Linked DNA regions of Ovis aries. The protein of the gene in region 1 purifies or fractionates together with the protein of each later gene. This does not show direct contact. Links are inferred from orthologs where the notes say so. Each region holds a gene or a part of one and is shown in the gene's direction. Other genes may lie near its edges.

Evidence for each region. The genes of interacting proteins can lie anywhere in the genome.
Region 2: the proteins of DRG1 (region 1) and NTMT1 purify together in Homo sapiens (affinity purification with mass spectrometry; 3 studies listed by BioGRID and IntAct, counting the BioPlex papers as one, with this or other methods). This does not show direct contact. The link is inferred for Ovis aries from reciprocal best matches to the Homo sapiens genes DRG1 and NTMT1.

The regions. Positions count from the first base shown.
Region 1 is NC_056070.1:70,085,733-70,089,380, forward strand, and holds part of DRG1 (developmentally-regulated GTP-binding protein 1), read left to right. Parts: intron 1-1,361; coding exon 1,362-1,492; intron 1,493-2,529; coding exon 2,530-2,697; intron 2,698-2,962; coding exon 2,963-3,085; intron 3,086-3,648. UniProt on the Homo sapiens protein: Catalyzes the conversion of GTP to GDP through hydrolysis of the gamma-phosphate bond in GTP. Appears to have an intrinsic GTPase activity that is stimulated by ZC3H15/DFRP1 binding likely by increasing the affinity for the potassium ions.
Region 2 is NC_056056.1:6,888,833-6,892,580, reverse strand, and holds the start of NTMT1 (N-terminal Xaa-Pro-Lys N-methyltransferase 1), read left to right. Parts: upstream 1-977; 5' UTR 978-1,041; exon of another isoform or gene 1,042-1,123; intron 1,124-1,261; exon of another isoform or gene 1,262-1,429; intron 1,430-3,748. UniProt on the Homo sapiens protein: Distributive alpha-N-methyltransferase that methylates the N-terminus of target proteins containing the N-terminal motif [Ala/Gly/Pro/Ser]-Pro-Lys when the initiator Met is cleaved.

The DNA.
Region 1 (3,648 bases):
GTAGAAGAGTAGCAAGAAACGAAGTCATAGCATAGGGCCATACATACTTCTACTTTGCAGAAGATGGTTGGGTTCCTGTCTGTGGAATAAAATTGATTCAGGTTTTAATGGAATCAGTCTGGCTGTTTGTTGAAAACAGACTGAAATGGGTTAAGAGGAAAAACACAGAACTCATTTAAGAGGTTATTACAATAATCTAGTCAAGAAATGATTGTTTCTTAGAGTTGTAATAGTGGAGATGTGGAGTAGTTACTGTGGAAAGATTTTGGAAATGGTTGGTAGGAATTAACAGCTAAACTGGATGTGGGTTGTGAGAGAAAGAGGTGATGGTGAGTTTTTGTTATGAGCTAGAAAATGGACTCTCGTGACTAAAATGGTAGGATTTAATTGTAGAATAGGTTTGGAAGGGAGGGGAAGATCAGATATTCAGTTTAAGATGCCAGTAACACTCAAGTTAGACATCCAGATATTACTGTCAAATAGGCATTTGAGGAAAGATCTTGCTGCAGGTATAAATTTATTGGTTATCAATTTTAAAGCCATGAGCTTAGCTGAGATCACTTAGCTGAGAAATGGAGTATAAATAGAAGAGTTTCAAGGATTGAGCTTTGTGATACCTTCCTCCACCCTCTCACAATGATTAGAGGCCAGGAGATGGGAAGAATCAGCAAATAAAACTTCTCAGTCAAGAAAGAAAATCAGAAAAGTTTAGAATCCTGAAAGCCAATTAAAGAAAGTGTTTCCGATTGGTAAGAGTGATAGATTCTATCAAATGCTCCTTCTAAGTCATATAATTGAGGATTGAGAATTTCTTGTAACATCTAATATTCTAGAGCTCCAGACTGGCATAGACTTAAGCTGTCCTGCCCCAGAGATCTTTCTTATTATCGTCTCATAATGTTTGAGTTGGAGCCTTCTTTCTGTATTTTTGCTATGGCTGCTGTAGTAAAGTACTGTAGAGTGGGTGGTGTAAACAGCAGAAATTTAATTCTCTTGATTCTGGAGCCTGGATATTTGACATCAAGATATGAGCCGTACTGGTTTCTTCTGAGGCCTCTGTCTTTGGCTTATAAATGGCTGTCTTCTGTGTTTTCATATGATCCTCCCTCTGTGTGTCTGTGTTCCAAACTTGTAAGGGGGGACATGAGTCATATTGGATTAGGGCCCACCCATATGACATTTTAATTTAATTACCTCTTTAGATTTTAAGTATTTCCTACTCAAAGCCTGTCTCATCTAGGATAATGGTCTTTAGAAATAAATTTGCACTTATCTAGACTTATCTGGGTACATCAACAGATACTTTTAGATTTTTTTTTTTTTTGCTCTCTGACCAGTTGTTGTTTTCTGTGCCCATTCAGTGCCCTCAGAGTGAGCTGGATGCTGAAACTGTGAAGAGCATTCTGGCTGAGTACAAAATCCATAATGCCGATGTGACCCTGCGTAGTGACGCCACAGCAGATGACCTCATTGACGTGGTGGAAGGAAATAGGTAACTGACTAAATGGTGCCTGAGTTTGAATTTGAAGCCTTGTAATGGAAACAACATTGGATTGTGAGTCTGGCAGACATCAGTTCTAACTCTGGTTGTGCTCTTATCTCAGATAATAGTGGGCCTTGCTTTCTTGATAAAATAAAGGGTTGTTCTTGATTGCTGACATCCTTCTTTGCTCTGAAGTTTGATGATGATTATCAAATTGCTTGTTTCAGTTACTTGGTATGAACTAGACTATCCCCTAAGCTCTGTGTTGTATGGTGGTTCAAGAGAGTACGTCCTCAGTCTGCTCTCACAGAATTAATCCATCTGAGAAATTCTATAGGCTGTTCTGCAGAACTTAGAGCAGACTGGGCTGTATCTGTTTTCTCTAAGAGTACATAACTGAGATCTTACATAACATGAGACATTACTATTTGAAATTAATAATTGAAAGTACTGTTAAGTTATTTCTGGCATTTGAAAACAGACAAAAACTGGTGCTTTGAGTTACGTGTTTTATAAGTGAGGCAACTGAAGCCTGAGAAGTTGTAGCTCGCCTAATTATTAGTAACCTTAGCTGCCCTATTGATTGAACAGTTAGGATTGTGACATTGCTAGATGTTGTGTTTAAAAATTTTTTTTTTAATTCTTGAAGTTATTATATTATTAGAAGTGTTTTACATTCTTACAGTTCATAAAACAACTGGGAAATTAACTGAGATCGCCTAGGGACACATGTCTAGAAAGTGACAGAGCTGGGAATACATTCTGTGTGACTCTAAAGCTTATGTTATTTACACTGCAGCATGCTTTTTCAGTAATTAGTTGCATGACTAGGGACTGTGGCTTGAGTTTTGTTACTTAACTGATAATTCACTTTTTGCATGTTCTACCTTATTTAGGTAGGAAACGTTTTCTTTTTTTGGCTGACTTTCTCATGATTCCAGTTTAGAGTCTCTGATTTTGAGTCCCAGGTGAGGGGCTGTTGAGTCAGACTGACAGTCTTGTCCACAGCTCCAGACTAACATACTGTTTTTCTTCTATTTCTGTAGAGTCTATATCCCCTGTATCTATGTGTTAAATAAGATTGATCAGATTTCCATTGAGGAGTTGGATATTATCTATAAGGTGCCTCACTGTGTACCCATCTCTGCCCATCACCGCTGGAATTTTGATGACCTGTTGGAAAAGATCTGGGACTATCTGAAACTAGTGAGGATGTAAGTCTTAGTGGAGAGGGTATTATTACTGTAGGACTTAAAGCAGACTATCCAAAAATAATACCTGCTAGAGCTCATTAACATAATCTGTTTTTGGAGATAAAAATAAATTAATTCCTATCATCTGCAAGGCCATATTGAGGGCACCTTCTCCCTCAAGATAGAGGTTATCCATGTCTGATCTCTGGGTTGATGGAGGGTTGAGTTGTGTTCACACATGAAGCATTCTAAGAAGTAAGCAGCCTCTGCTCCCTCTGTGTTCTAGTTACACCAAACCCAAGGGCCAGTTGCCCGATTACACATCCCCAGTGGTGCTGCCTTACTCCAGGACCACGGTGGAGGATTTCTGCATGAAGATTCACAAAAATCTTATCAAAGAATTTAAATAGTAAGTATGATGGCATGTGGTGCCTTCTTTTCCCTATGAGCTTTCTTCTAATGAGTAATTCTTAAGATAGAGTTATAGAAATTAGGCATCAGGAAATGCTTGCTTGGTTAGAACCTTTCAATGTCTTCTTAAATCTAAATCAAAACAGAAAGTGACACCATGCCAACTTGGAGCAGGAAGAGCCCTAAACACCTTTTCAAGTTGGGAGGGCTGACAGTACAGATTGCTCTGAGGTTCTCTTGTTAATTCATTTTCCTCTTGGCAAACACAAAATGTAGCATCATATTGGGCTTCACTGGGTACTGAGGGCCCCCTAAACCTTTTGGATAAGGAAATACTCTCTTGATAGAGTTTTCCTAGTATGGCTAAGGAAGGATATCCTACGTTTCTTACCCGTAACCACTGATGGTTCATAGGCCCAATAAAAACCAGTATTCTGTAACTGACATTGCATTTGTAGGAATCAATTTCCAATCAATTATTTCAGGGTATTTCTCTGTAACAAGTCTATGCTTTCTCCTTTTATTTTTAAATTAGTCTGATCATACTTCTCATTTGTATTT
Region 2 (3,748 bases), on another chromosome or scaffold:
CTAAAACTGTACTCCCAATGCAGCGGGCCCAGGTTCAATCCCTGGTCAGGGAACTAGATCCCAAATGCAACAACTAAGAGCCCACATGCTGCAACTAAGACCCAGCTCAGCCAAATAAATATTAAAAAAAAAAACAAAAAACGGTGGGGCTTTTCAGGGCACCCCACTGCCCCACTATAGCTTTCACTTCATTAGAGCAAACACAATTTAAGCACCTCCTGTGTGCAGTGTCCAGGAGGCACTGTAACTCTAAGCCAGGATATCAGTTTAGGAAAAAAGAATTTATGATAAATATTGTGAATATTATGCTATACATGAATACAGTGACCAATATTATGAATCAGTTTCTATTTACCGACAGCAGGCTCCACACACAGGGCTGAAGGCTCAACTCACAGTATCCCACAGATGTAACCCTCGAGCATTGAAAAATGAGCAATTATTCTGTGCATCTGGCGGAAGTAGAGACTGAGGCTTGGAGAGGTTCACAAGGTCTTCCACCTGCAAACTCACATGTTCATCTCGACTGCTTCAGGGACCAATTCAGAATTTGTGTTTGGGAGGAACCTAGGAAAGGGCAACCTTTTCGAAATGGAAACATCATGGACTTGTTCCGCTTATTTGGAGTGGCAACCCCTTGGCATTGTCAAGGGTATTTTTCCTTTACTTTTTTTTGGATCTGTATATTTTAAGGATGTTAATTGTTATGGGTAGAGTTAAGGCTTGAATAAGGCTCTCTCCCCCGCCTCTTTTTTTTGTAACCCAGTGGAAGACCCACAAAATGCTCTTTTTAAGCCTGCTCCAAGTGAGCTGGTGCACAAGCCGGAGGTGGGATAAGCTCTGCGCAGGGAAGTTGTCGAGTTAGGGCCGAAGCCCAAGGGTGCGGGGTGGGGGGGGGAGAGGCGGGGACAAGTCGCGCGCGGGGCGGAGCCCGAGGCGGCCCCGCCCTCAGAAGAGCGGAAGTGACGTAAGTGGGCAAAAGCGGCGCGCGCCGCGAGGTGTCGCTTCTAGCCGAGGTTGGACGGAGCTGGTCGTGGGCAGGTGGGGGGTCTTTGCCGCCGCCGCCCCCCTCTTTTCCGCTTCCCCGTCCTCTTCTCCCGCGTCCCGGGAGCCCCCACCCGGGGTGAGTAGCGCGAGGCGGAGCGGGGTGGGGCGGAGACAGTGGCTGCCGGGAGAGGGGAGGCCCCGGACCCCAACCGCCTGGGTGCCCTGAGGCCTCCCCGGTTCCTCACGTGACCCGAGCGCGAGCGGGCTCGGCCCCACGTGCGCGCTCGCGGAAGGTCCGCCGGCCGGCCCTGGGCCCCCGGGGTCCCGGGGTGGAGGAAGGCTGAGACCCCGCAAGCCTGATCAGGGCACTGGCCCCACGCCGACTCCCGCCGCCGCAAGTTCCTTTCCCTGTCTGAGCCTCAGTTTCCCCTGTGCCAGACGGGTAAGGCGCGCACCCGCAAAGGAGGGTGGGTGTGAGGATTCAGGAAAACCGCTCAGATCACAGTCGGGCACAGGGTATCGTGCCCGTTACACAGGCGTCGCTCTCATATTTCACCTTGGACCCGACCCCAGTGACGGCTCAACAGAGGTGCTATTTCAAAAGAGAGCCCGCCGGCCCCCCGAGCCCTTGGAGCCAAGGTCAGCCTGTTGGCAGAGAGGCTGCCATAAATCTGAAGGCCCAAGCTCTGCTGCCCAGTCAGCTGCGCCTCTCTGGATCTTGGTGTGTCTGTAAGACAAGGGTTAGAAACAGCTGGTGTCAGAGGCCCTGCCAGTGGGGCTGGGCTGTACTGCACGTGGTCTGGATGTATAGAGTCTGCTCAGTGAGATGGCCTGAGCCCCTGGGAGAAAGGGGACCTTGAGGGGGGTCAGAAGTCTGGATTCTGTCCTTGTTCTGTTCCTGGTTTCCTGTGTGTGTGCATCGCTCCATTTTAGTGAATGGTTTTTCTGTGTGTACCAGGGACTATGGGAGGGTTGGAAGTAAATACATGTGGCATGCTTTGGTGGCGACCAGAAGCCCTGGAGTCACCAAAACCTTGAGGGTTTCTGTGCTTGCATGGCTGGAGGCTCGCTCCCCTCTGCTGCCATTGGCAGAGCCATGTGAGCGACTGGATTGACCACCTGCAGTAGCAGGAATAATCCCTTAGGTGTGATCAACACGCCACGGTGTATAAGGGCCTTTCAGTACATTTTCTCATTAGATCTTCACACTTAGCAGAGAGAATTGATGAGCATATCATTGGACAGAGGTTGTTTTTTTTTTTTTTTTTTTTTTTTAAGATTAATATGTGCCCAGCAGTGTCTGGATCACTTTTCACTTTTATATCCACATTTAATCATCACAGCCCTCCTGTAAAGTCAATATTGTTCCCATTTTATAGATAAAGACACCTGCTTAACTGAGGTTATGTCTTAGCTTGCATAGCCAGTGGGAGGCAGAGCCAGCGTTCAGACCTGGTTCATTCACCATCAGAGTTTAATCTCCTCCTGTCTTTGTTGCGTCTTCCTTGTTTCCTCCTTTACGACATGATTCCTTTAAATGTCAAGGTCCCCTGAATAATCTCATTTACAAGAATTCCACTGACAGGTAGTGACAGTTCAGACACCGTTCTCTGTCACGGATGCTGGAAGAAGAGTAGTTGCTGGGGCGGCTGCTCAGGGTCAGTCACCCTGAACACCTTGGAGTGGGGAGATGACCATGAAGGATGCCCAGACACATTCCACTCTGAGAAGCAGAAGTTCGCTAATGAGCAAAGGGTTTCTCTTCTCCTCTGAGCTCGTTCAGAGCACTCACGAAGCCAGACTGTGCCCAGGCCCCTTCGCATCCCTGCGGCCACGTGGCTCCTTCCTGTGATCTGGACCAAGCGTAGGAGGACTTCTTGCAGTTTGATCAATAACTGCTGTCCCCTCTGCCTCCTAGGGACCTCCTGCCCACCCCAGTCTGGATGCCAGGAGGTACAGTGTAGACAGGGCCCCAGGAGTCATGTTTACTAATGAATCTAAGCTGTTAGAACAAATGGCAAAGTCACCCTTGCCGTTTCCCAGCCCGGATGTGCCTCCCTGGCTTATTCCCAGACTCTGCCTGTCAGTGGGATTCCTGTCGATGAGATCATTCAGGGGGCCTTGGCATTTAAAGGAATCGTGTTGTACGGCTCTTGGTAAAGCAAAAAATCATACTGTCAGTAAAGGGCTTCAGTGTTATCACATTGGAACGGGTACATCTTTGTAGGATTTTCTGAAAAGTGCAGAATGGCTGTAGCCGCACAAAGGTCCTTCTTTGATTCCTTCAGCAACCAGTTAGTAAACCGCCCCCTTGTATCAGGTCTGAGGCTAAGGGTGTGTGAGGCAGTGTCCCTGCGCCCAGGAGCCATGTCTGCTGGGAGGAAAGGCAAACAACGGGGCAGAGGGGGATAGTGCACCCCGAATTAATAATAATAATGATAATAATTGTCCCACAATTATTCTGTTCTTTTGATCGGCAGGGAATTTTGTTGAATACCTGTGAGCTGTGTGGAATGCGAGAGAAATACAGTGGTACATTCCAGGGTGTTGCCTCTGCTTTCTCAGGCAGCTCCCAGTCCAGTGGGGGGAGAGACTCAAGTACGGAAGCAGAAGTTTGTCTGAGGGGGAGCGCTGCTGTGTGGTGTGGAGGAGCTGGCTTTGGCGCTCTCCTTCCTGGGTGGTGGTCGGGCCGGGAGGGACGCTGTGGCAGAGTTGCCGTGGCCCCTTTTGGCCAGGGCCGGGGAGTCCACTTGGCCTTGCC